Linked DNA regions of Ovis aries. The protein of the gene in region 4 interacts with the protein of the main gene of each other region in a pairwise test. Links are inferred from orthologs where the notes say so. Each region holds a gene or a part of one and is shown on either strand. Other genes may lie near its edges. The genes, in order: SHMT2, SNX11, ACSF2, ARL6IP1, GAD2, SNX15 and NDRG4.

Region 1 (2,964 bases), on a different chromosome or scaffold from region 4:
CCCTTGATCCCAGCAGCGGAAGCGCCTCTGACCCTCAGCTTCAGTCCCACGAGGGGGAGGAGCAGTTAAAGGGCAGGGAGTAGCCTAACCCAAAAGGCTCATGCCAGACCCTCTGCCCCATTACTCTGGCTTTGGAGGGCGGGTCCATGCTACATGTTGAGCGTGGCCTACGTGAGAGACAAGACCAAGCAGGGGCCTGAGTGCCAAATGACGTGGCAGGCCCCACGTTAGCCCAGGCTACAGGATCCCTGGCGCCAGCCTGGGGGCGGTGCTACTCTGGCTCGCTGGGCTCGACCAGGCTCGTCGCTGACAGTACAGCCAGCTGGAGGCACCTACACTCAGGAAGGTGCGGCTTGCTTCTCCGGTGTCTGCGCTGCTTCCCCTGCTTCCCTCCCGCTTTTGGTACCACTGGACAACCTCCCCCACCCTCGCCTCACACCTGGGCCTCCCCAACCTCTCCCCTACTTCCCTCAGTCCCCAGGGATCAAACAGAAGCAGCCTTGGGCAAAATACAATTTCATTTAACAAATTGAATTTGTTGCGCCTGCTAATCACGTCTGGTGTCGCTTCTGATCAGAGGGAGAGGAGGAGGCAGCCTTGGGGGTCCTTGTGGTGGTGGTGAGAGGGAAATGAGGAGCACATTGAAGGAGAGGAATACCACCTGGCTCAGGGGACCCCCAGGGCCCCCCCCTCCCCGCCAGTAACAGAAGCTCAGGGCAGGTTAGTATTTTATTAGATAGAAACAGAAAGGAGGGTGCCTACCCACCCCTTCCTCTCGCTCAGGAGAGGAACTCCCCCCTCCCTAAGAAAGGGCAGGGGTCTATAATACTGACGTAATGGGAGAGGTTAGGGCAGAAAGCTCCAAGCCTCCTCCTTCTCAGTCGTATTACAAGAAGAAACCTCAGCTCCACGTTCTGAGAAGTGGAACTACACATGGTTCTTGCCCTAAGTCAGGGGTACCTTCCCTCCGCCAGCAGAAAGCTGGAAGAGGAGCAGTTACCACCCCCTCCCCAGGTTGTCCAGGAAGGTGAAGAGGGAGACATGTTAGTCCGCACGCAGGCTTCGTTTCTTAGGTGCCTTCAGTGATCATCAAAGCCAGGCATGGGGAAGGCCCTGGCGAACTGCTCCACCCGTTGCCTAAGGTCGGCCAGCTGATGACTTGTTTCTGGGTCTTTGAGCAGGAAAGATTTGAAATCCTGGAGTTTGGCTAGACACAGGTGAGGAAAAAAATGTGGTCAGAGCTTAGGGGAAGGCAGTGAGATCAGCTGGAGGAGGGGGAGATAGTGTGAACTGGCTGGGGGGCAGGGGAGGTCTTATCCACTCACTGGTCTTGCTCTTCACTTCCAAGCCAATGTTGACACCTTCATCTATAAAGCCTACAACTTTCCGGAAGTCATCTTCACGGAACCCTCGAGAAGTCAGGGCTGGGGCCCCTGCAAGAGAGGCAGAAGAGGATTAGCACAGCCCCAGTCCATCTGGCAGTCATCGCCCCCCTACCAGAACGCAGGTTTACCCAGCCGCAGGCCCCCAGGTGTGATGGCGCTTCGATCTCCAGGACAGGTGTTCTTGTTGGCCGTGATGGATACAAGTTCCAACACCCGTTCTGCTCGAGCTCCGTCCAGGCCCTTTGGCCGCAGGTCCACCAGCACTAGGTGGTTGTCAGTGCCACCTGAGGCGGGGAGAGTCAGCAGGGAGTGGTGAGTCCTGGGCCTCCGAGGCTACCGGGGTGTGCACCTCCCCCTCCCCACCCCCTAGCTCACCAGACACTAGGGAGTAGCCTCGCTCCAGCAGGGCATCAGCCATGGCCTGAGCGTTCTTCAGAATCTGCAGGGAGTACTCCCGGAACATGGGGGTGCAGGCCTGGAGAAGAGGCGGCAGCACTGTCGCCTTAAGCCCGGCCCCTCCTGCCCCACCACCCCCAGCATACTTGGGACCCCATCCCCACGCCCTGCCAGCCTGACACCTCCCTTCCATCTGCTCCAATTTCAGCTAGCAAGGTGCAGGGTCTGAGCCTCCGGGCCCTGCCCCCACCCACTCCACAAGAGTAGGCTCCCCAACCTGCTTTAGGGCCACAGCCACTGCAGCAATGGCATGGTTGTGGGGGCCCCCCTGCAGGGATGGAAACACAGCAAAGTTGATTCGGTCCTCAAATGTGTAAGGGATCTCTCGGCCAGTTTTGGGGTCCACAGCCTGTACCCCCTTCCGGTAGAAGATGAGTCCTGACCTGTGTGGGAGGTAACGCGGTCAGAATCTAATCTGACAAGAAAGAGCATGGGGGTGGGGAGAGCAGAGGAAACTGGCTGGCCTGGCCGCCACTGGCTCTCAGAGTCCAGCCCAGTGGTGTTCAGTATGCCGGACTCCAGGGCTTGAGGGGAGCAGACCTCACCTCCACCCCCAAACCCCCTGCCGGGGAACTGCCACCAAGGGCAAGAAAAGAAGAAGTATCCTAGACAGGGCTTCCGGTGGGAACAAACTCACATCCAACCTCAACCATGCCCCGGGGTGGGGCATGAAGACAGGGAGAGGCAAGGAAAGACCTCAGGGAAGCCTGACCTGGCCCCTCGAAGGGTCTTGTGAGTGGTCGTGGTGACGATATCTGCGTGCTTGAAGGGTGAGGGGATCACCTTGGCAGCCACCAGGCCACTGATGTGGGCTATGTCTGCCAAGAGGTGTGCCTTGACCTCGTCACACACCTAGGCGGGTACAGAGGAGGACAGAGATAGGCCTCAGCCTGGGGAGGGCCCAGACAGGCCTGCCCAAGGCTTGTCCCTCGTCCCAAGTCTCCTCACCACCCCTTGGGGAGGGCAGAGATTCCAGCCCACCACTAACTTTTCTCATGCAGGCGTAGTCAATGAGGCGAGCATAGGCACTGGTACCAGCTATGATGAGTCGTGGTCTGAAGAGCCGAGCAGTGAGTGCCAGCTGGTCATAGTCAATGAGGCCGGTTTGGGGCTAGACAGACAG
Region 2 (3,960 bases), on a different chromosome or scaffold from region 4:
AAATAAGAAAAAATGTATTTATTTGGCTATGTGGGGGTCTTAGTTGCCACATGTGGACGTAGGATCTAGTTCCCTGACCAGGGATAGAATCCAGGACCCCTGCACTGGGAGCATGGAGACTTAGCTACTGGACTACCAGGAAAGTCCCCCCACGCATGCTTTTCAAAGAGAGGATTAAATAATATTAATCAAAGACTTAAGATTTGTAGAACTGGGGAATAAGCACTCAATAATAAGTAATACTATTACAACTAAGTTTCTATCACTGAAATTATCTAAAACAAACTAATGTACTTCAGGAGAGAGTGAATAGATGAATTTTTGGACACCCAACCAAAAAATGTCTCGAGAAGAACTGCCCCCTTCGCCCGTCTCATGGGTCTTTCAGCAAAACTCTTATGATATTGTTGGGCTGGGTTCTTCTTACATGGCAGTTCTCTAGAACCCACTACGGGTTCTAGAATATTTCTGTAGACCCCCAGTTATCTACCGTACTCTGTACGGTACCTGACTCAGCAAACTGATGTTGCTGCTGCTAAGTCGCTTCAGTCGTGTCCGACTCTGTGCGACCCCATAGACGCAGCCCACCAGGCTCCCCGTCTCTGGGATTCTCCAGGCAAGAACACTGGAGTGGGTTGCCATTTCCTTCTTCAATGCATGAAAGTGAAAGGTGAAAGTGAAGTCGCTCAGTCGTGTCCGACTCTCGCGACCCCATGGACTGCAGCCTACCACGCTCCTCCGCCCATGGGATTTTCCAGGCAAGAGTACTGGAGTGGGGTGCCATTGCCTTCTCCGGACTCAGCAAAACTGTTATATAAATGCAGACTCCTGCTTTCTGGGGCGGAGTGCAGTAGACTCGTTTCCTTTCTCCTTTTCTTCTGATTAGAAGGATATTTGAATTCCAAGTAAGGGGGGAAAGGTCACCTTTTGGTAGACATTCTGTTTAGATTCTAATTGAACAAGGAAATGTAGAGTAAGGGGGAGATGGAAAAACCCCATGAACGTGATGTGAAGAAAAAAGATGAAAGCTTGATCACCTCCATTTTCTTTCAAGGAGGAAAAGAACATTAATTTGTGTGCGTGCTCAGTTGCTCCTATGAGCGTGTGCTAGGTTGCCCCAGTGGTGTCTGACTCTTTGAGACCCCATGGTATGCAGCACGCCAGGCTCCCCCATGCGTGGGAATTTCCAGCAAGAATACTGGAGTGGGTTGGTATTTCCTCCTCCAGGTATTCTTCCTGACCCAGGGACCCAATCCGCCTCTCCTGCATTGGCAGGGAGGTTCTTTACCACTGAGCCACCTGAGAAGTGAAAGTGAAAGTCGCTGAGGCTCAGTCCTGTCAGACTCTGCAACTGCATGGATTATACAGTCCATGGAATTCTCCGGGCCAGAATACTGAAGTGGGTAGCCTTTCCCTTCTCCAGGAGATCTTCCCAACCCAGGGATCGAACCTAGGTATCCTGCATTGCAGGCAGATTCTTTATCAGCTGAGCCACAAGGGAAGCCCACATATTAACCTATTTAATCATTTATTCAACAAATGTTGATTTGACTGTCTTATGCTAGGCGCTGTACTGGGCAGAGGTTTCTGCACTAACGGGAGTGGAGTTTTAAGTCCAACAAAGACAGATACTAATTAATGACAGTAAAGTAGGATGAACATCATCATGAGACCGAATTTCCACATGAACAAGTTTGGGGACAGCAGTCTAGCTGAAATCAAAACTAGAACACTTGTCTCAAAGAATAAGAAACAGGTTTTTTGCCTGTTTCGGTGTGTCTTTGAGGAGGCTGGGTGAGGGAAGGGTACTCATGGATATTGAGGGTTTCGGCCCTAAAGCCGCCCATTCGTGCAGCCAGTGTAAGGGGGAAGTTCAGGGTATCATGAATGACACCTACCAGGGGGACCTAGCCTAGCTTAGGAGGTCAGGGAAGGCCTCGAAGGGGAAGTACTTTAATCTCAACGATAAGAACTAGAAGCCTTATAAAGATCTGGTGAGAAAGCCTTATAGAGATCTGGTGAGAAATAAGATTCAAAATTTTCAAGGATGTGAACTACTGTCCAAAAGTGGTTTATATTTTACACCAAACATCAAGGGGTTCGCTTGTAAAACCACACGCTTTAGTTTGCTAGGTTGCAGCGTTCTCAACTAACAGTCGCTTCGGCACTGCTGCTGCTGCTGCTGCTAAGTCGCTTCAGTCGTGTCCGACTCTGTACGACCCCACAGACGGCAGCCAACCAGGCTCCCCCGTCCCTGGGATTCTCCAGGCAAGAACACTGGAGTGGGTTGCCATTTCCTTCTCCAATGCATGAAAGTGAAAGGTGAAAGCGAAGTCGCTCAGTCGTGTCCGACTCTTCGCGACCCCACGGACTGCAGCCTACCACGCTCCTCCGCCCATGGGATTTTCCAGGCAAGAGTACTGGAGTGGGATGCCATCGCCTTCTCCGACACTGCTGCTGCTGCTAAGTCGCTTCAGTGGTGTCCGACTCTGTGCGACCCCATAGACGGCCTCCTACCAGGCTCCTCTGTCCCTGGGATTCTCCAGGCAAGAACAGTGGAGTGGGTTGCCATGTCCTTCTCCAATGCATGAAAGTGAAAGTGAAGTCGCTCAGTCGTCCGACTCAGCAACCCCGTGGACTGCAGCCTACCAGGCTCCTCCGTCCATGGGATTTTCCAGGCACGAGTACTGGAGTGGGGTGCCATTGCCTTCTCCGTCTCCGACACTAGTGGTAGAAAAATTAAAACTTCTCGAAACCCTCGCAAACTGTGCGTGGCGCCGTGGAAGGCGCGCAGCACTTCGGGTCTTGTAGTCCGGGACGGACTCCGAGTCCCATATTGCTGTGCGGCGGGTCATCGCGCCTGCGCGGTGCGGGCGGCGGGCAGCGCAGAGTGCGAGGCTCTTTTGTTCGTCTGAGGGGAGGGCCGTTGGCAGGGGCCTGCGGTACGCCGCTTCAGTGAGGGGGCTCGACAGTGGTCACCCGGCTTGTTGCTTTTCTGGTCGCCACTCCCCCGGCCGGCCGGACAAGACCCGCCAGTAGCGCGGCACCGATTCCTCTCGGGCTTGTGGGCGCTGCTCTGAGGTGAAGAGCCCGCTAGAGGCGGGCAAGCGGGGGGATGGCGCGCGGCGGCGGCGGCGGCGGCGGCGGGAGCCCTGGATCAGGGGCCGCGAGCTCGCGGCGGAGGTTAGGAGCGGGGAGCGCGCCCGACTCCCTCTCCCTCCCCGCGCAGTCTTCTGCCGGGCGCAGTGGGTAGGGCGAAGAGCGCGAGAAGATGGAGAGGGCGGGGCGGCGAGTCCGGAGCCAGAGATTGAAGCGATTTGGGGTGGGCCGAGCGTTTGCGGGTCGCCCTTCGGCCTGAGTAGACCAAGACAATGCTACGTGGGTTGGGTGGGCGGCTGGGGGATTGGGCTGGAGAGGAAACATAGTCAATTGGGAAGAGGACGGACGGGATAGCCTGGGCGCTTGAACCAGCGTAGGGAGGGTTGACGACTGCAAGACCCGAGGTTAGAAATGTAACCTGAGAATATTGGGTCCCGCCAGGGCTGCCATAGGAACTCCGCTTGCGGAGTTGCGGAGCGGTAACTTCGAGGAAATTGTAAGCGGCTGGGGGGGCAGGGCAGCCCCAAGTGTAGTGCTTTGGGGAGGTCTGTTGAGTAAATTGGGGAAGGGTCTAGAAGGAGGGGTGGTATTTGCCTGGTTTTGCTCGGGGACTGGGGGTGGCGGGGAGAAACTGTTAGAGTAAGTGGGCGGAGGTCCCGAGAGCTTTTCTGTGAGGCTTGCTCAAGAAAAGGGAAAAACTGGCCACCGCTTGCTTCCTGGTTGATCGGCTGTAAGAATGTGTGAAGAAAAGATGGAACGCATTTTATTATCTTTTCCAGGTTTTCTGCTGCCTGCCTTCATTCCGTGTTTCCTTTAAGGAGTTAAAAAGTCCCAGTGCAAATCTTGCTTTAATTCGTAATT
Region 3 (3,500 bases), on a different chromosome or scaffold from region 4:
GCACCCTCCACATTATGCCTGTGAGGGAAGGATGTGGGTACACAGTCTCTTTTGAGGGGTGTTATGGTGACTGTGAGGAACTACCTCAGTAGTTGTTTAGGTCTGCCAGCCTGAGTGGTAGAATGTGGGGGCTTGCAGGGCTTCAGAGGCCTGTGACTTCTGGCTGTTTTCTGTCCTGGCACACCTGAGGAAACCAGCTGGCTTAGGTGGCTCACTACAGTCTTTGAGAAGATTGCCCAGGAAGGTGATCTAGATAGCATCCCTTTGAGGATAACCACTGATCCAAGTCCTCAGACTTTATAGGTGGGGAGGGTGAGGCCCAGAGAGGAGAAAACACAGATATCTTCACTTGGATTTTCTTGAGAACAAGTACGTGGGTGCAGGTGGTTTATTTGTGATCTTGGGAAGCAGGAGTGAGGGAGTATGGAGAGGAGACAAGAAGTCAATTTGGGGCGTTTGTGGGCAACCAGGATCTTACCCACGCCCTCCAGGCTTGATGCCTCCCAGAACTGCCCAGCCACAGAAGGAGAAACTTGAGGGAGTCACTGAGGACAGAACCTCAAGAAACTGCCCTATCAGTGAAACTAGAAATGTGCTGAGGACACATGGCAAGGGACACCGAAGGTGTTTGTGACAATCTCCCACCCAGCCAGCGGCACACCTGGGATGAGACCAAAGGCCCCAAGCTCTACAGTTTGTGACTCATCTTTATTGAAGTCAGGACAACCTACCCATCAGCCTGCACCGGGACACACCCTCATGTGACGTGAGGTCTCCTCTCATTTATAGGGAAACCCAATTTGCTCCCCTCTGCCCTGCATACTTTATTCTGTCCTGAAATTCTCCCCCATAAGCCAGAAGCAGCCAATCAGTGACGGTTAGGATTGGCCTTTTCAGCTCAGCAACTGTAGGACTGAATCATCAGGAAGGGTCCCCAGGGCCCACACCACCCTGATGGGGTGGTCTGGAAAGCCTGGATCTGGAGCGTGCCCTCTCAGATAAGAACAGGGTCTGAGAGCTGTCATATACTTCTCTGGGCCTGGATGGGAGCCCAGCACCTGTCACCCAGCTCTGGCAAATGGGCATAAGCAGGCCTAAGCTTATGATACTTAGACTTCTGGGGACCTTTTTTTTTAAATAATAAAAAAATAATTGTTTTAATAATTCATTACAGTTTTAGTTACAGAATAACTGAGTAGATCATACATAGAGTTCGTTAGGCCCACCCCTGACCCCATCCCTGGCACTGTTTCTCTAATATTAACATCTGCATTAGTATGGTACATTACAATTAGTGAACTAGTATGGGACATTATTGACTTCCCAGGTGGTGCTAGTGGTAAAGAACCTGCCCACCAGTGTAAGAGACACAGGTTCAATCCCTGAGTCAGGAAGATCCCTGGAGGGAGGGCGCAACAACTGACTCCAGTATTCTTGCCTGGAGAATCTCACGGACAGAGGAGCGTGGCAGGCTACAGTTCATAGGGTCGCAAAGAGTCAGGCTAGACTGAAGCGACTCAGCAAACATGCACGCATGGTACATTATTGTTGACTGTGGTCCAAGTTTACATCAGGGTTTAGTCCTTGTGTTAGATCATTCTGTGGGTTTTGACAGATACGCAGGGGTCTTTTTACCAGGAGGAGGTGGTGTCTAGAATGAGGCCATTCCCAGCCCTCCCAGGCTACCTCTCAGCATGACTGACCTTAGTATCCCTTTCTAGGGTTTGGATACCAAGGCTCCAGACGCTTGGCACTCAGTGGAAACTGAGGAGAAGGGCGGGGAGAAGAACCTTCTCTCCGATTAGGGACAGAAGTCAGCCTCCAGGTTTTGATTTCCCAAGGGCAAAGTAGCTCCTAAGTTAAATGGGTCCCTGGCAATGGGGCAGATCAGACAGTTTCTGGAGTTTCCTGCACACGTTGTATGCAACCTAGCACGATGTGCCAGCCTTTGGTTCCAGGGAGGCCTGGCTTGGTGTAGTTGAACCCATAGCCCCTTTTCCCACAGTTCTGGAGAGCTGGATCACACCGTCCCCTTGCCTGTCGGAGGCTTCAGCTATGTCCAGGGCCACGTCGGATTGCACCTTAGTAACAAGACTGTGGGGCGGTGCCTGGATGCCACAGCACAGAGGATCCCAGACCAGGAGGCCTTGGTTGTCCACCATGAAAACATCAGGTTGACCTTTGCCCAACTCAAGGAGGAGGTGGGTCCTGACTCTGAACCTTCAAAGTGGGCAGGTGCTGGCCCCCAGGTGCCAAGCTTGGTGGAGCTGCAAGGGTGGTGCCCGGCTATGGGGCAGCATGCTGGGGCTGCCTGAGAATATCAGGAGTGGGGGGCAGGGCTGAGGCAGAGGTGGTCCAGGTGCCTCCTGCGTCAGTTGTTCCTGGGACACTGTGTAACTATGCATGTCCCCAAATCCCCCTCCAGATCTCAGGCCTGCGTATCTGCCTGTCCCTCATTCCCAAGTGGTTCTGGTGTGAACCCCTGGGCCAAAGGCTAAAGTCAGAGTCATGGGCTCCTTTCTGCTCACCTACATCTCACTCTTCTGTTCCCCTTCTGTTTATTCCAGGTGGATAAAGCTGCTTCTGGGCTCTTGAGTATCGGCCTCCGCAAGGGTGACCGGCTGGGCATGTGGGGGCCCAACTCCTATGCATGGGTACTCATGCAGCTGGCCACAGCCCAGGCTGGCATCATTCTGGTGAGGAGGGGATTGCCTGGCATAGCTGGATATGCAGGGGGGAGGGCATCATTCAGGGGAGCTCCCTGGGCCCTTGGCCCCAGAATCACACCAGTGCCTGGCTGGTTTCAGACCAGCTAGTGCTTTCTCCTGAAGCCCACTAAGGAAGCCTGAAGGTACAGGGTGCTGCCTCTGAGGGTGGAGGGGCTGCAAGTGGGACAGCATCTGCCCAGGACACGTGACGTACCCTCACTGTCTCCACCAGGTATCTGTGAATCCAGCGTACCAGGCTATGGAGCTGGAGTATGCCCTCAAGAAGGTGGGCGCATTCCTTGGGTACTGTGGGGGAAGCCAGCTAGTACCTAGCACAGGGGGCTTCCAGCTGTCACAGAAGGCTGAGAGGGGTGGGGGCATGCACAGGTGACACCCTGAGTCTGTCCTTCTTCAGGCAGTGGGCGGGAGGAGGGGTGGTTGGTCAGACAGGCCAGTGTGTGTGTTGGGGGTGGCGGCTGTGTGTATTTCGGTGTCAGTGTATGGGAGGGAGAGCAACTGTCAGGACTCCACCACATTCCCAGGCTGGGGCTTCCTGCTGACCGTGGCGGGGGGCTGCCCTTCTACAGGTGGGCTGCAAAGCCCTTGTATTTCCCAAGCAATTCAAGACTCAGCATTACTACAACATCCTGAAGCAGATCTGTCCAGAGGTGGAGAAGGCCCAGCCAGGGGCCTTGAAGAGTCAGAGGTGGGGGTGTCCCGGGTCGGGAGGGGTACATCATCCCATATCTTGGGCCGCTCACTCCTTACTCATCTCTGGGGGCCATCCCTCCT
Region 4 (4,151 bases):
AAAACTATGTTTACTGTTTTGAATTATTCCTAAGTTACTTATGAAATTAGTATTACCTTAAATATCAATGGTAAAAAATGTAAAGCAGACATACTATGGAAAGCTCATTATGAGTTCTGCAATCACTGAAAAATCATTACCAAAAAAAGCCTCACTTCAATAAAAAGGTCTAGAAAGAAAAAAGTCAAAATAAATGCTAGAGTATAAAAGAACTATGGAGATATAAGTACTGGAAATTCACGATTTATATGTGAATCAGCTAAAAAGTTCTTTACATCAAACAGTAAGTCTAATCCCTAGCTGTTAATTAAGGCAGCTCTCTGTGTGTGATTATAGCACCCTAGTCACAGTTATCAGGTTCGCAACTTCTCAGAAATTTGAATGCCACATCATTATGCCACCTACCATTTATTGGAGCCAAAAATTCTAGGTGCTAGAATGGGAACAAGGTAGTCAGCCAAGCACAAAAACATAACAAAACAGGAAACACCAGATAGAACAGATGGATCTAGATAGTAGATAGTCCTGTTTAAAAAAAAAAAGTAACAAAGGTTAGAAAAATATGGTCTTTATCAGTGCTAGCTGAAGACGTTTATTCAGTTAGTCCTCTGGTTCTCAAAAGATGTTATCTGCCCTTCCTATTCTCATTTTCTCACAAGTGGTTTTCCAGAAGTTTTGTGACATGATGACATCCCAGCCATAACGGTTAACGTAAACATCAAGAGGCAAAAGCCCTTTGGGGTCCTCAACACCTTCTAGGAGTGTAAACAGTCCTAAGTTTGAACCACAGATTTATTTCACTGCACCGGTTACTGACTTTACATAGTACTATGGATTCTGAAAACCAGGCAGGCGGCTCTAAGGCAAGGCATTTTTTTACAGATTTTAAAATTACAAGACTTCAGGCACTTCCATAAATGAAACCTGAACCATTATTAGTAACAAGCATAAATCTATTGTAATTTAATAGCTCACTTACAGAAACACCAAAGAAACCACACCCATAATGGCAGGTGGAAACCAGGCTCTTTCCCATCGGAGGATTTTATCTGCCATCAGCATCACTTCTCCCCATCCTTGCAGCTGCTCTTCCAGACTTGCAGTCTCTGCAGCCTACATATGAGCAACGTTTAAAGCAATCATTTTACTAATCTCAACATTTCTGTGACTCCTAGAGATACCAAAGTCAGAAACCAATGGGGGGAAAATTATCATGTAACGGTCACTTTCCAAGCCCAAGCACTGGGGTTATGTAACATAATCCTTATAAGACCCCTTAAGATAGGGATAATCAGACCCATTTACAATTAAAGTGAGTTCAGAATGGTTATTTTCCCAAAACCATGCACTGCTAACTGTAGGCTTCCCTGGTGGCTCAGACGGTTAATCATCTGTCTACAATGCGGGAGACCTGGGTTCGATCCCTGGGTCGGGAAGATTCTCTGAAGAAGGAAATGGCAACCCATTCCAGCACTCTTGCCTAGAAAATCCCATGGATGCAGTAGCTTGGTGCAGGCTACTCCGTCCATGGGATCGCAAACAGTCGGACACGACTGAGCGACTTCACTTCACTATGCACTGCTAAGTGGCACTGCTCCAAGTATAAAATAAGATCACTTGAAGTTTGCTCATTTCAGGTTGTTACAATCGATCTGTTCTTTGGTCATTTCATTGATTTAACCCCCTACTCCTGAATACATGAGGAAAGCCTCTCCCTGAACAGCATTCATTTCCAAAATAGCTCTTGGTGTACTAGAATCATCTGTATATTGGCATCACTTGCACAAGTAAGGAAAACTACTGTGCTTTCTTCGAATTATAAGACTTATTAAGCCCAATATATCTCAATAAAATGCTCCTTACACTTATCAGGATGCTTTGGTTAGATGTCAAATTTCTCTGCAAATCTGACAATCAGCTGCAAGCAGACTTCTCAGATGAGCTAAGCAGACTTCTCAGATGAGCTAATGTGGCAAAAAACCTTTAAGTTGATTTTGTTTTTTGTTGTTGTTTGGTTGGTTTTTTTCGTTGCATGTAAGCTAAGTTTCGGAGACAGCAATGGCACCCCATTCGGGCTGAGGTTATAATTGTCTGCCTTTGATACAAGCTCACTGCAGTTCCCTTCGACCCCTGCTTACTCTAAAATCGTCCTGTGACACCCCCTCCCAGTCTTAGAAGTTCCAGACAAACGCCAGGAACCTCCCATTGTCCTTCCAGCTGGATCCCACCTCCATTTTCCAGCCGTGAGCTCGAAGCCTCCCTGCCGTTTTAAGCCGTGCCAGGCTCTAACAGAAACGCTCGGGAAGAGCCCTTTGACCCTCCACTCCTGCCCAAGCATTAGGGTAAAGGGCGAAGGGACATTCTGGTTAAGATCAAGGAAGGGGAGACACAGATACGGCTGGAGTCTGGGCCCCAAAAGCGCTCGACAGGCCCCTCGCGGCTCTCTGCCACTGACTGCAACCCAGACTGGTCACAGCCCCCTTCTCCAGCTTCCTCCTCTATTCGCAGTGAATGATCACGCGCCCTCCTCGCTCCATCGCGCACCTTCCCCAAGGGGGTGTTAGGAGACGCCACGACTAGTCACTGTCAAGCAGAGGTTAACCAAGAAGCCAAAAGGGCAAGCGTCATCGCCTACACCAGGGAAGGGAGCGGAGGGCCGGGCCCGCCGCGGGTGATAAGAACAAGGCCGCAGCTCAGTCCCACGGAGCACACCAAAGTCCGGAGGCTCCACTCGGTCCTCTGGCGACTAGTCGCTGGGACTCACCAGCAGATTGGTGCTGCGATTATCTCCTTCCGCCATAGTTCTCGAGGTGTGCCGTCTCAGCGAGCACAGGACGAAACCACAACAAATCCTCCACAGACTCCCTCGCCGCACCCCTAGCGCGAGGATACGCCCCGCAGCCCTCTTATATAGGCCGGCTGCCTTTCCCGACAGACCCTGCGAAGCTCGTTCCTCATTGGACAAATCGAGATCAAGCTTGAACAGGTCGGACCAACCGCTGCCCAGCGCATGACTTGAAACCGAGGTCAAAGGAGAGAAACCTCGCCAGTGCCCCGGGGGCGGGGCCATGGGATGGCCAATCAGCGCCCAGTAGGTGACAACGCCCCGCCCAGGCCTCTCCTAAGCGGTTCAACGGCCGCTCCCGGGGGCCTGGCCTGGCTTCAGTATTCCTAAGGCGGGCCGCCAGGTGGCTCTCGGACGATCTTCCAGTGGACTTCAAAGCAGCTAAGCATGCTCTCTGGAATTGAGTCCTTAAGGAAATATGCCACGCAGTATCAGGCGGAGGGCAGAGATGGGCATGTGACAGTAACCTCCTTAAGGGGGCGGGCTGGGATCTTCTCCCAGATCCAGCGGGTGGCCCTGGGCCTGGCTGTTCCCCGAGTTGGACCCACATTTCTTCTAATCCCTGCTCTGGCAGCCCTCGTCAGGCTGCTGAGCAGTTTAGCCTAGATTTGTGACTTGGAGACTCGTGCCCATCTCATGAGCTTTGTGGACAAGGGAAAAGGGCATAAATTCTAGGTTTTCTGTAATTTTCCTCCCCTACTCATTAGGAATAAGGTCTTAGATGGACGGGCGGGGGGCGGCAGAGGGGGTGTGGACATCTGGGCAGAGTTTGAGAGCTTGTGAAAAATGCACTTTATAAAACTGGTTCATTTTCGTGGGTTCTTTGGGAAAGTTCTTAATAGAACACCTCACTTGAAACCGCATGTTCCCCCTCCAAAAAGGGGCTGGTTTTGACAGATCCTTTCATATAAGGAAAGATGTAAACCATCTTGAGTGGAATTCATTGCAATTTAAGAACTAGATGATCAATGTGAGACACATTTTCTCTCCAGGATTTCAAAATGCATTAACGTTTTCATTACTCAACACAAAATAATGCCAAATGTTGACCTTTCAGATATCTCTTTCAGAAAAACATGCCATAGCTTTCAACTTCCAGTCTTTTATCCTTTTGCAGTCATCTATATTATGCCATCGTTTATTTTAAAAACGTTCCTTAAATAACTACCAGGTTCATAAAAAGTTCAGGGAAGGCATAAAGAAATGTGAGCCAACACAGCTACAGACCACATGCTGCCCCTAAGAAAACTAGGGGGACAGAAGCATTGTGAATATCATTAAAAGTTATGAAATTTGCCATTGAACT
Region 5 (3,986 bases), on a different chromosome or scaffold from region 4:
GTGCAGGCTTCTCACGCATACAACGATTCCCCTGACGTGTAAGCAGCGGTCCTTCCACGCCTTCGCCGATCAAGGTCACCGAATGACTCGACCGCATCCCCCATCAGCCATCAGCCATCAGCCGTCAATCCTGCTGGCTCTAGTTGTTCTTCCTTGCCGCCTTCCAAGAAGTTTCCATTCATATTATTTCTCTGCCCAGCCTGAGGTTCTTGGTGATAGATTTCAGCGTGAATTTTAATTGCCTCAATCAGCAGTCTTTCTCCCAAGCCGTCAGTCAGAACTTGAGCAGTGGGCTCGGCGACCAAGCGCTCTGAAGCGCAGGAATGGTTCCCAGCCCCCACCTCGGGGAGACTACGCGGCTCAGTGGGCAGGAGTTAGGCTCTACTAAGGAGCAGGACTGAGCCCATCAGTGCCTAGGTGCCCTTCCCGCACAGTCCCCTTCCCAGGCTCGCGAACGGCTCCAGATTCCCCCAGCCGCCGGGACTCCGGGGGGTCACAGCGACCTCAGCACTCTCTCGCAGGAAGGTGGCGAGGACTTAGCGCCTCCTTCTCCGCAGTCGGAACCAGACCTCAAACAATACACCAATCGTCGCAAATAAAAGGCTGTCTCCTCCGCCTTTCCCGCCTCGCCAAGGTCTCTGTGGTCTCCCCGCGCTGGTGCCGGCGCGCAGTCCGCCGCGTTAGCACCCTGGACAGCGCCCCCGGGGTCGCCAGCATCCTCGCGCCGCACGCTCCCCAGGGATCGCCTGCTCACCTCCCACCCGCTAACGCTGACTCCTGCACGGGCGCACTGTCTGCCTCGCCCTCGGACGATTCAGCTCTCTCCCTCCCGTTTTTCCCTCCTCCGCCCCCTCGTGCGTCCCGGCTGGGCTCCCTCTCCCTCAAAATCGCTCGAGTGCTCGGTCGCTTTCCCATCTCCCGGCGGTAAGGACCCTTCAATCCTCTCCTCTATTCACTCCCCGAAGCTTTCAGAGCTTTGCCACTTCGCTGAGCTCTAATCCCAACACACACGCGCGCACACGGACACGCACGTTTCCTGCCCCTGTGTGACACCCACCCTCTGTCGTGCGGCCGCTCCAGACCCCGCGCGGTGTTCCTCCTACCGCCACACACACTCACACACACAAACACACACAAACGCACGCACGCGCGCGCGCAGGGCGGAGCGGAGGGCAGGCAGCTCGCCGGCAGTTTGCACTCAGAGGCGTCTTGCTCCAGTATCGCAGCGCTGATGGCATCTCCGGGCTTTTGGTCCTTCGGATCTGAAGATGGCTCGGGGGATCCCGAGAACCCCGGCACAGGTAGGAGAAACGGGACCTGCAGGCGGAGAGCTTTGCGGGCGGACTGGGTTTGAGGGGCTGGGGAAGATTGAAGGTTTTCCCACCTGCAACAGGAAACTTCGGACGCTTAGCCCTGCCCTCGGGGTGGGTCCTTGATGACCCAACAGACTCTTATCCCCTGGGAAGATGCCCAGGGACCGTCTGGTTCTTTCCGCTGAAATCTGGGAGAGCCTCTAAACAAGGCCGTGTCTCCTCGACACCGAATTCCTGGGCCTGGGATTCTGTCACGGTCTTAGTGTCTGGAGAGAGAGAGGGTGGGGAAAAGGAAAATTGGAAAGGGGAGAGAATTGTTGATCTGAAAGGAGAGCGTGCGAGGAAATGGGCAGCCTCGGGTGTCGAGGAAAACTCGCCCAAGCGAGGCAAGAAGGAGACTTTGTCCTAACCGAGTGGTACCTGAAAGGCAAGTGCAAAGGGCCACAGTGTGGGCCGCTTCTGAGGAAACAGCCAAGGGTCGAGCCGGGCCGCCAGGCTCCCGCCGCCTCTGGCACCTGCTCGCTGTGCGGGCGCCAGGCAGGCAGCTTTTCCCGGAGCCCGGGTTTATTGACGTTCACAAAGAACGAAATTTCACACGTGTGTCTGCTGTTTTCTTTCTGCCTCGCTGTCCTCCCACCTGTCTTTCCTTGCAGCCAGGGCCTGGTGTCAGGTGGCCCAGAAGTTCACGGGCGGCATCGGAAACAAACTGTGCGGTGAGTGCCTGCGCGGGTGCCCGAGGGAGGGAGGCGGACATGGCCAGGCACCGCGAAGCCCGAGGAAGTCAAAGCCACCCTCTCACCTCCGCATCCCATGAGGGGTCGGATATTCTTGATTTGGGGACCGGGGATGGGGGTCGGGGGCTGGGAGCCGGGCCGGCGGGCCGCCGACCTAGGTCCGCGCTCCTTGTCCTTGCCCAGCCCTGCTCTATGGAGACGCCGAGAAGCCGGCGGAGAGCGGCGGGAGCCAGCCCCCGCGGGCCACCTCCCGCAAGGCCGCCTGCGCCTGCAACCAGAAACCCTGCAGCTGCCCCAAAGCGGAGGTCAACTATGCATTTCTACACGCAACAGGTAAGGGCGCCTCGCCGGGGTCCCGGGAGCTTCTGCCCCTCGCCCTGCCGCGGCCACCGTGGCCAGGAGGGACTCGGCGCCGGGAGCCTGAGCCGGGACGTCGAGGTGCAGGGCAAAAGCAGACCTTAGGAGACACTCCAGCAGACCTCGAGAAACGCTGGGCCTGCCCTCTCGGTCAGACCCAGACCCGGGCCTCAGCGTGGCGCTGGGCTCCGTGGTTCCAAGCGGGCTCCCGGACTGCGGGCGCTCTGCGCCCAGCGCCGGCCTCGGGTCTCCGGGTGGCCGAGGCGCCCCGGCGCACACTAGCTCCAGGTCCTATTCTCCGTGCGCCCGAGGCCTCGGGTGAGATGTGGTTTCTTGTTCAAAATAGCTTAGACTTTCTAGGTCTTCAGATCGCAAGAGTGATTTGTAGCTGTGGTTTCTGGAAAAAGATTGACAGGAAACCTGCGCGCAGTTTCACTCTCGTACTTGCACACCCAGTGTGCGAGCGCGCGCGCGCACACACACACACACCACACACAGAGAGACACGCTGACTTAGGAAACAGCGGGCCTTAGTTAATAAGCCAGAGATCCTGTGATGCCATAGGATAATAATAAGCCAAGTGATAACCAAAATCTTATGAGCCATTTTGCCCGATTTACCCAAAAGCATTCCTCAGACATTCCTGACTTGAAGTGATCGTTTAAGATGACTTACTGAGAAATACCGTTTAGCGAGAACCCGGACGAAACAGATGAATGGAAGTATATTTTCTTTAAAAAAAAAAAAAAGATAGGAAAAGGAAGCAAATTGGTTATGAACTGAAATGCAAGAAAATTTGGGATAAGGAAAGAAATCGTATTTTTTTCATTCCTTCATTTTTGAAAAATACCTCCCGTTTAAAGAAGATGCTCTGCTTTTCCAGAAGATTTTTTTTAACATAAAATCTCAGTTCAGAGAGAAAGTGTCAGATGAAGACCTTTCCTGGATATTTTCATTGTAAAATTAAAACGTGGCATTTTGATTTTGTTCTTAGACCTGCTGCCAGCGTGTGACGGAGAAAGGCCCACTTTGGCGTTTCTGCAAGAGGTTATGGACATTTTGCTTCAGTATGTGGTGAAGAGTTTTGATAGATCAACCAAAGTGATTGATTTTCATTACCCTAATGAGCTTCTTCAAGAATATAATTGGGAATTGGCAGACCAACCACAAAATTTGGAGGAAATTTTGATGCATTGCCAAACAACTCTAAAATATGCAATTAAAACAGGTATTGTCTGATCAGAAATAATAAAGCTCTTTTTTCTTTTATGATTTTTATTTTTTCTAGGAAAATGTTTTCTTTTATGGAGTTGATAATTTCAAATTTACAGCATTATTTTCATCATTTAAAAAGTCGTGATTAGAATGATTAATGTCAAAAGCACCCTTTACTGTTATTGTTCATTGTTTTGAAGTCGGAAATGTTACCTAGATATAAATCATCAGATTTTACATCACACTATTTGGCCACGGAAATTATCCACTGAGTAGAAGCAACCATTTGTCAGTAGAGGCCAGTAGAAGTGACTCTCCTATAGAGAAAGAAAAAAAGAGAATCTAGAAATGAAAGCGTAAAAGGCAT
Region 6 (4,090 bases), on a different chromosome or scaffold from region 4:
TCGAGTGTTGGTGAGAATGAGAGTATAAAATGGTACAACTACTTTGGAAAACTGAAAATTACTAGGAAAAGTTACACATATGCCCAGCAAATGGCCCAGCAATGCCCAGGTACTCTCTTTTTTTCAACTCTTACTTATTATTGAATTACAGTTGATTTTGAACTTATTTTTGAACTGTGGTATTGGAAAAGATTCTTGAGAGTCCCTTCGACTGCAAGGCGATCAACCAGTCAATCCTAAAGGAAATGAGTCCTGAATATTCACTGGAAGGACTGATGCTGAAGCTGAGACTCCAATACTTTGGCCACTTGATGTGAAGAACCTATTCATTGGAAAAGACCCTGATGCTGGGAAAGACTGAAGGCGGGAGGAGAAGGGGACAACAGAGGATAAGATGGTTGGATGGCATCACCGACTCAATGGACATGAGTTTGAGTAGGTTCCAGGAGCTGGTAACGGACAGGGAAGCCTGGCATACTGCAGTCCATGGGGCCGCAAAGAGTCTGACTGAACTGAGATAGCTGATTTACAATATTCAGGTATATACACATACATAAATAATATTTTTCAGATTCTTTTCCATTATAGTTTATTAGTTTATTACAAGATGGGATCCTGGTGGCTCAGACGGTAAAGAATCTGCCTGCAATGCAGGAAACCTGGGCTTGATCCCTGGCTGGGGAAGATCCCTGGAGAATGAAATGGCGACCCATTTCAGTATTCTTGCCTGGAGAATTCCATGGACAGGGGAGCTTGGCAGGCTATAGTCCATGGGGTAACAAAGGGTCGGACACGACTGAGTGACTAATACTTCTTCTTATTACAAGATATCAACTATAGGGACTTTCCTGGCAGTCCAGTGGTTAAGATGCCAGGCTTCTATTGCAAGGGGCATGGGTTTGATCCCTGGTCAGGGATCTAAGACCCCATATGCCTGGGGGTGAGGCAAAAAAAAAGAGAAAGATATTGCCTATAGTTCCCTGTGCTATACAGTAGGGCCTTGTTGCTCATCCTTTTTTTTTTTTTTTTTAAGATTTATTTATTTATTTTTGGTTGCGCTGGGTCTTCATTGCTGGGTGCAGACTTTCTAGTTCTCTATTTGCGGTGCGCAGGCTTCCTATTGTGGTGGCTTCTTTCATTGCAGAGCATGGTCTCTACGGCACACAGGCTCAGTAGTTGTGGAGCACTAGCAGCTGCTTTGTGGCATGTGGCATGTTCCCGGACCAGGGATCGAACTCGTACCCTGCTTTGGCAGGCAGATTCTTAACCACTAGACCACCAGGGAAGCCCTAATCTATTTTATATATAGTAGTTTGTATCTGCTAATTCCAAGCTCCTAATTTATTCCCCACCCCACTTTCCCTTATGGTAACCATTAGTTTATTGTCTGTGAGTCTGTTCATTTTAAAATAAGTTGATTTGTATAATTTTTTTAGATTCCAGATATAAGTGATACCATATGACATTTGTCTTGGATTATCTTTTTATTTTCATTTTGTAATTTTTTTTAAATATTTGCATTTTTTAGGTACAGGAATGACACAAAAGATTTGAGGAAAGACCATTTTAAACATCTAGGATTCTGCATTTAAATCATTTCGGAAATCTTTACATTTCTGCTTTAAGTTATTAATGCACCAGTTTAATAGTTGCCTACTTCAAAATTGTAAAAATACAAAAATATTTAGTGAAAAATCTTCCCCAATTAGTTCTTGTATGTCATTCTACAGATAATATTATAGTTTCTGTTTTTAATCCCTTTCATGATATCCTGTCTCTATACACTTATAACGTTATTACTACTTCGTATACCAACTTTCGTCTTTATCTACTGACTTCCTGTTATGACTGTGAAGAGACTTATTCCTTTATTTCTTTTGAAGTGTATGAATTTTTAATCATACACAGGGATAATTTTTTGAAAAAAATTTAAAGTAATTCAACTCCTTAAAGAGTTTTCATATGAATATCAAACAAACCAACAGACAAAGCTTACTCCAAGAGACTGGAGACCTAATCAGTATTTGGGATGAGCCAGTTTTCAGCTTAACTTAAAGAAATTCACAGCCTGACGCCAAGCTGCCACGCATTGGGCGTGGACACACCTCGCAGTCTGGGAACTGCCGGCACGCCCTTTTAAAAGAGCAGCGCCCTCCTGTGGCCCCGCCCCTTGATGGCTAAAGAAGTAAACTAGGGCCGATTAACCACCACTCCCCCCCCTTAAAGGGGAAATCCATTCTGTTGTCTAAAATGGGCGCTTCCAGCAGCGTCTTGCTTTGAAGTAAAACACGGCCCCGCTCTTGTTAAAAGGGTAAATTCCCGCTGGGCCCCACCTTACCTGCGCCGTCACTTTGTATTCAGTGTAGCCCTTGGGGTGGGTCCGGGGGTCGGAGACTGTGTAGTGTCGCAGGAAGTCGTCTTTCGCCTGCCGGGACATGGCAAATAAATTGGAGCGGAGCTGACCGCCGGCCTCCGCCTCCTCCACCCCGCCCCCGCCCCTCCAGTTCAGTCTTCCCCAGTCGCCGCCTCGCCCGGGCCTGCGCCTTTCATCCTACGGCCCAGGGAGCTGGTCGCAAGTGACAGCGCAATTCTCGGCCAGGCGCTTGGCCAAGGGAGCGTCTAAAAAGTTCTCGATGGTTGGTAAAGCCGGAACCAAGTGATTTGGGAAAGGATTGGGGAAGAGTAAGGAAGGCAATGGCAACCCACTCCAGTACCCTTGTCTGGAAAATGCCATGGATGGAGGAGCCTAGTAGGCTGCAGTCCATGGGGTCGCGAAGAGTCGGACATGACAGAGCGACTTCACTTTCACTTTTCACTTTCATGCATTGGAGAAGGAAATGGCGACCCACTCCAGTGTTCTTGCCTGGAGAATCCCAGGGACGGGGGCTGCCTCTGGTGGGCTGCTGTCTATGGGGTCGCACAGAGTCGGACACGACTGAAGCGACTTAGCAGCAGCAGCAGCAGCAGCAAGGATTGGGCAAGCTGGATCACTCAGGTTTGCTTAGAGATAAACCCACCCCATGCGATGGTAAACCCTCATCAGTTCAGTTCAGTCGCTCAGTAGTGTCCGACTCTTTGCGAACCCATGAATCGCAGCATGCCAGGCCTCCCTGTCCATCACCATCTCCCAGAGTTCACTCAGACTCACGTCCATCGAGTCAGTGATGCCATCCAGCCATCTCATCCTCGGTCGTCCCCTTCTCCTCCTGCCCCCAATCCCTCCCAGCATCAGAGTCTTTTCCAATGAGTCAACTCTGCATGAGGTGGCCAAAGTACTGGAGTTTCAGCTTTAGCATCATTCCTTCCAAAGAAATCCCAGCGCTGATCTTCTTCAGAATGGACTGGTTGGATCTCCTTGCAGTCCAAGGGACTCTCGAGTTTTCTCCAACACCACATTTCAAAAGCATCAATTCTTCGGCGCTCAGCCTTCTTCACAGTCCAACTCTCACGTCCATACACTACTGGAAAAACCATAGCCTTGACTAGATGGACCTTAGTCAGCAAAGTAATGTCTCTGCTTTTGAATATACTATCTAGGTTGGTCATAACTTTTCTTCCAAGGAGTGAGCGTCTTTTAATTTCATGGCTGCAGTCACCATCTGCAGTGATTTTGGAGCCCCCCAAAATAAAGTCTGACACTGTTTCCACTGTTTCCCCATCTATTTCCCATGAAGTGATGAGACCAGATGCCATGATCTTCGTTTTCTGAATGTTGAGCTTTAAGCCAACTTTTTCACTCTCCTCTTTCACGTTCATCAAGAGGCTTTTTAGTTCCTCTTCACTTTCTGCCATAAAGGTGGTGTCATCTGCATATCTGAGGTTATTGATATTTCTCCCGGCAATCTTGATTCCAGCTTGTGTTTCTTCCAGTCCAGTGTTTCTCATGATGTACTCTGCATATAAGTTAAATAAGCAGGGTGACAATATACAGCCTTGACGTACTCCTTTTCCTATTTGGAACCAGTCTGTTGTTCCATGTCCAGTTCTAACTGTTGCTTCCTGACCTGCATACAGATTTCTCAAGAGGCAGGTCAGGTGGTCTGTATTCCCATCTCTCTCAGAATTTTCCACAGTTTATTGTGATCCACAC
Region 7 (3,500 bases), on a different chromosome or scaffold from region 4:
TGGTGGCCGCCCAGTCGATCCAGCCTTTGCCGTTGGGGTCGATGTTCATCAGCACCAGCCCCTCCACCAGGTCGGGGAAGATGAGCTGCCGTGACAGGGAGACAGGACTTGAGGGGCGGGACGGGGTGCAGGGAGCCCCTATCTTTCCACTAGAAAACGGACTGTAAAGTTCCAACCCTGCCTGTCTCGTGGGCCGTGGAGGGTGGTAAGGGTCTGAAGAGGAGGACGTGTTCTGTAAGGGCTTCCAAGGTGCAATCGATGACCAAGTGCCTTCAGCTGAGAACAGTTTTTCAGCTTTTAAATATATCTTTGAAGAGGTTCCCTTATAGCTCAGTTGGTAAAGAATCAGTCCGCAATGCAGGAGACCCCAATTCGATTCCTGGGTGGAGAAGATCCCCTGGAGAAGGGAAAGGCTACCCACTCCAGTATTCTGGCCTGGAGAATTCCATGGACTGTATAGCCCGTGGGGTCGCAGAGTCGGACAGGACTGAGTGACTTTCACTTGAAGAGGTTTCTATTGCAACACTGAGAACTAAACATCCTCAATAAAATACTGTTTCTTTGCTTTCATAGAAAAAGCCCTAGTGATGTGAAGAAACTGAGCTTTCCAAAGCCTGTTCTGTGTTAGACATTGTAAAAGAGACTGGAGTTTTCCCTTCGACTGTCTGCCCGTGGTTAGGAGAAAATGGTAATATATACATACTGCGGTCATGTCAAGGCTGTCTGGGGTAGCAGGGAATGACTGACAGTCAACAAGGTGGTTAAGTACTGCAGTCAAAACTGGAGCTGAAAATTCTTGGTCAGGTTTTTTGTTTTGTTCTTTGTTTTGAAGAAAGAAATACTTTGAGTCCTAAAAATTAGGTTTTCTTTTTAGAGATGGAAAGCTTGTGGGCTCCTCCTGCCTGATATGATGTTTCTGAAATCTGACTTTTTTAAACCTCAAAACTTAACGTAAGTGTAATTTTTGGTTAAAAAATCATTCATGTTTAAGTATTACTCTAATTAGTGAATGAGGAATTAAGATCATCCTTACTTAGTGGCTCATTAGTTGTACAGCTTGTTGGTTTTGGATAATGGTTTGAGCAACTTACGGAGTATAGTGTTTTAAGGAAATGTATGAAAAAATTAACTTTTTTTAAAAGTTAATTTCCTTGGAGGAAAGAAAGGAAAAAGGACTTTTCTAAGTGAAGAGGAAGTAGAGGGAGGAGGAGAGGAAGAAAGAACTCAGAAAGTTCCTGCAGGTTGCCCCTGGGGGGACCAGTCCTGGGATTAGCTGGGCCTGGGGTGGTGGTGGGTAGACTTACTGCAAACTTGGCCAGCACATATGCTCCGGCTCCCACTCCAATGCCAATCACGTACTTGAACCTGACAGAGAGCATGCTGGTCACTCCAGGGGTTTCCTTCCCCTTGATGGCCATCCAGTGCAGACCTAGCCATAGCCCTGAGCCCTCAGCTCGAAGCTGCTGGCTCTGTGGCGGTGGTGGGCACCTCTGGGGTGGGGGACTGGGCAGGGACTCACCCAAAGTGCTGTACCACACTGGGGAGCATGGCGGCCAGCTGCTCCATGGAGGGGAACTGGTACCTGCAGGTGGAGCAAGAAGTCAGTTCCGGGGCAGCTGGAGGTAGGGGGGCCTAGAGAAAGCTGGGGGCGGGGCATTCCTGGTACCTACCCCTGAGGAAACTGTGACGCCCCCACCTGCTGACCGGGGGCATCCACGTGGCACACCACGAAGTGCTTGGTGATCTCCTGCATGTCCTCAAAATTGAAGAAGGTGTTGAAGCACAGCTTGTCTGCAAAGACACAGCTCTCAGCTCTGGCTGAGCCAAGGAACCGGGGAAGTGGGAGGAAGGGATGGGGGGATGGGGAGGCCCATGAGGCCCGTGGATGCTGGGAGGCAGGTCAAGGCAGAGGTGATGATCAGCCTCATGGTTCAGCGGGGAAACCAAGACCCACATGGCTGGAGGCATAGAGCTAAGCGTGAGTGGGGATCCACACAGCCCTGTGGGGAGGGAGGGGGCCTCACTATTCCAGCAGACCCTAGGCAGAGGAGGGCACACTTACGGTTGAGCCCCACGTCATGGTAGGTAAGGATAGCTGGGCGGTTCCCCTTGGGGGAGCCCCGGATCACCACGTGAAGAAGGCCGTAAGGCGTCTCGATGTCATGTTCCTGGAGGGGAGAGACCGCGCTGGACCCTCTGGGCAGCCCCTCACTCCTGGCTCTTCTGGGAAACGAGGCTGGGGAGCAGCCTGGGGGCTGCTGGGCCTATGGTGGGACCTTCACCCCTCCCCTCATAGGCTAGGCATCCCCTTTTCATCACCCCCAGCAGCCCCCGGAGGGGACAGACCAGAGAGTACATCTCTCCCCATGGGTGTTCAGCACAGGGGCAACATAAACTGGGCTGCACATGAACATTCCAGTCTCCTCCGCAAACCAGCCAGTGGGGCGCCCCAGCCCAGCAGCACTCAGCCCTCCAGGGTCCAGTGAGGCCCATTTTTTCCCATCTCACTGCAGCCCCTCTGGGTCAGCTCTGCCTTCCCCATCGAGTCCCACCCTCATCATGTTCCCCCTGGACTCAGAACCCTGCAAAAGGGCCTCAGCCCACCTAGAATCCACGGTGAAGACCCCATGCCAGCCAGTCCAGCCGCCCACCCCCACAGCTGTTCCTGTTTCCACCCCCAGGCTCTCGCTCCTGCCTCTCTGAGATCCCCAAGGCCTCCCTTGGTCAGGGCCAGGCTAGACACCATGTGTCTAGTGGCGGCTCTGGGCTCCTCCTGGGTCAGCCCCCTTGGGTTTGCTGCTCGAGGTCATCAGTCCTTCAGGAAGCAGGAGCTGAGTGCTGCAGGTTCAGGACCCGCTCTGCCCCTTACTGTGTGACTCTGAGCGGGACACGCACCTCTCTGTGCTTCAACCACCTCTTTCTGAGCCATCTCATGGGGGTTCAGGGAGAACTAGATAAGCTGATACCTGGCCCCAGAAAGGGGGCTGCCATTGGTGGGCGCATCCCCGAGCCCTGCTGGCTGGTCTTTCTGGGAATTGGTCCCTCTTGGCCACTCACAGGCAGACTCCCAGCGGGTCTGTCAATGCTGAATAAACAGCCCTGCCCTCTCAGGGAGAGTCTTGGGGACTGCAGGAGGTGGGTGGTCCCTCCCAGGGAGTTGGAGGTCGGGCTGAGGTCAAGGAGAATCACCATGTGACTGAGCACCTACTGTGTGCCAGGTGTTATGAGAGACAGAAGCAGCGCTTTTCCCCACCTTTTAGTGGAGTACACTCATATTCAGAGAGAAACAAAGTTTCTGCCTCCGACAAGAAAGGGGAGCCTTAGGTGACCGGCCTTCTTGGGTCAGGGCTGAGAGGACCACTGCCTGGCCCCATCTCCAAAAGGGAAGGACTGGTGGTGCCAACCCTGGGGCCCAAGGCCACACGCCGGGAGCCACACTTCTGGGTCCACCGCAGCCGCTGCACGGCCCAGGCCTGTCCTTCAGTAGCACTTCTGCTCAC

The links.
Region 1: the proteins of ARL6IP1 (region 4) and SHMT2 interact in binary tests that used the Homo sapiens proteins (3 or more experiments, as listed by UniProt). The two-hybrid records come from large-scale screens. The link is inferred for Ovis aries from reciprocal best matches to the Homo sapiens genes ARL6IP1 and SHMT2.
Region 2: the proteins of ARL6IP1 (region 4) and SNX11 interact in binary tests that used the Homo sapiens proteins (3 or more experiments, as listed by UniProt). The two-hybrid records come from large-scale screens. The link is inferred for Ovis aries from reciprocal best matches to the Homo sapiens genes ARL6IP1 and SNX11.
Region 3: the proteins of ARL6IP1 (region 4) and ACSF2 interact in binary tests that used the Homo sapiens proteins (3 or more experiments, as listed by UniProt). The two-hybrid records come from large-scale screens. The link is inferred for Ovis aries from reciprocal best matches to the Homo sapiens genes ARL6IP1 and ACSF2.
Region 5: the proteins of ARL6IP1 (region 4) and GAD2 interact in binary tests that used the Homo sapiens proteins (3 or more experiments, as listed by UniProt). The two-hybrid records come from large-scale screens. The link is inferred for Ovis aries from reciprocal best matches to the Homo sapiens genes ARL6IP1 and GAD2.
Region 6: the proteins of ARL6IP1 (region 4) and SNX15 interact in binary tests that used the Homo sapiens proteins (3 or more experiments, as listed by UniProt). The two-hybrid records come from large-scale screens. The link is inferred for Ovis aries from reciprocal best matches to the Homo sapiens genes ARL6IP1 and SNX15.
Region 7: the proteins of ARL6IP1 (region 4) and NDRG4 interact in binary tests that used the Homo sapiens proteins (3 or more experiments, as listed by UniProt). The two-hybrid records come from large-scale screens. The link is inferred for Ovis aries from reciprocal best matches to the Homo sapiens genes ARL6IP1 and NDRG4.

Annotation. Positions count from the first base shown.
Region 1 is NC_056056.1:162,387,019-162,389,982, forward strand, and holds the end of SHMT2 (serine hydroxymethyltransferase, mitochondrial), read right to left. Parts: intron 2,953-2,964; coding exon 2,830-2,952; intron 2,694-2,829; coding exon 2,554-2,693; intron 2,225-2,553; coding exon 2,059-2,224; intron 1,861-2,058; coding exon 1,761-1,860; intron 1,670-1,760; coding exon 1,514-1,669; intron 1,434-1,513; coding exon 1,326-1,433; intron 1,208-1,325; coding exon 1,080-1,207; 3' UTR 501-1,079; downstream 1-500. UniProt on the Homo sapiens protein: Catalyzes the cleavage of serine to glycine accompanied with the production of 5,10-methylenetetrahydrofolate, an essential intermediate for purine biosynthesis.
Region 2 is NC_056064.1:38,124,438-38,128,397, forward strand, and holds the start of SNX11 (sorting nexin-11), read right to left. Parts: upstream 2,801-3,960; 5' UTR 1-2,800. UniProt on the Homo sapiens protein: Phosphoinositide-binding protein involved in protein sorting and membrane trafficking in endosomes. Regulates the levels of TRPV3 by promoting its trafficking from the cell membrane to lysosome for degradation.
Region 3 is NC_056064.1:35,985,318-35,988,817, reverse strand, and holds part of ACSF2 (medium-chain acyl-CoA ligase ACSF2, mitochondrial), read left to right. Parts: intron 1-2,005; coding exon 2,006-2,201; intron 2,202-2,567; coding exon 2,568-2,696; intron 2,697-2,940; coding exon 2,941-2,994; intron 2,995-3,295; coding exon 3,296-3,414; intron 3,415-3,500. UniProt on the Homo sapiens protein: Acyl-CoA synthases catalyze the initial reaction in fatty acid metabolism, by forming a thioester with CoA. Has some preference toward medium-chain substrates. Plays a role in adipocyte differentiation.
Region 4 is NC_056077.1:16,929,073-16,933,223, forward strand, and holds the start of ARL6IP1 (ADP-ribosylation factor-like protein 6-interacting protein 1), read right to left. Parts: upstream 2,801-4,151; coding exon 2,765-2,800; intron 1,114-2,764; coding exon 980-1,113; intron 526-979; coding exon 406-525; intron 1-405. UniProt on the Homo sapiens protein: Positively regulates SLC1A1/EAAC1-mediated glutamate transport by increasing its affinity for glutamate in a PKC activity-dependent manner.
Region 5 is NC_056066.1:26,034,813-26,038,798, forward strand, and holds the start of GAD2 (glutamate decarboxylase 2), read left to right. Parts: upstream 1-1,186; 5' UTR 1,187-1,231; coding exon 1,232-1,301; intron 1,302-1,966; coding exon 1,967-2,026; intron 2,027-2,230; coding exon 2,231-2,380; intron 2,381-3,398; coding exon 3,399-3,632; intron 3,633-3,986. UniProt on the Homo sapiens protein: Catalyzes the production of GABA.
Region 6 is NC_056074.1:39,693,176-39,697,265, reverse strand, and holds the start of SNX15 (sorting nexin-15), read right to left. Parts: upstream 2,801-4,090; 5' UTR 2,766-2,800; coding exon 2,715-2,765; intron 2,540-2,714; exon of another isoform or gene 2,438-2,539; coding exon of another isoform or gene 2,426-2,437; coding exon 2,339-2,425; intron 1-2,338. UniProt on the Homo sapiens protein: May be involved in several stages of intracellular trafficking. Overexpression of SNX15 disrupts the normal trafficking of proteins from the plasma membrane to recycling endosomes or the TGN.
Region 7 is NC_056067.1:25,875,446-25,878,945, reverse strand, and holds part of NDRG4 (protein NDRG4), read right to left. Parts: intron 2,169-3,500; coding exon 2,063-2,168; intron 1,792-2,062; coding exon 1,671-1,791; intron 1,583-1,670; coding exon 1,520-1,582; intron 1,366-1,519; coding exon 1,305-1,365; intron 86-1,304; coding exon 1-85. UniProt on the Homo sapiens protein: Contributes to the maintenance of intracerebral BDNF levels within the normal range, which is necessary for the preservation of spatial learning and the resistance to neuronal cell death caused by ischemic stress.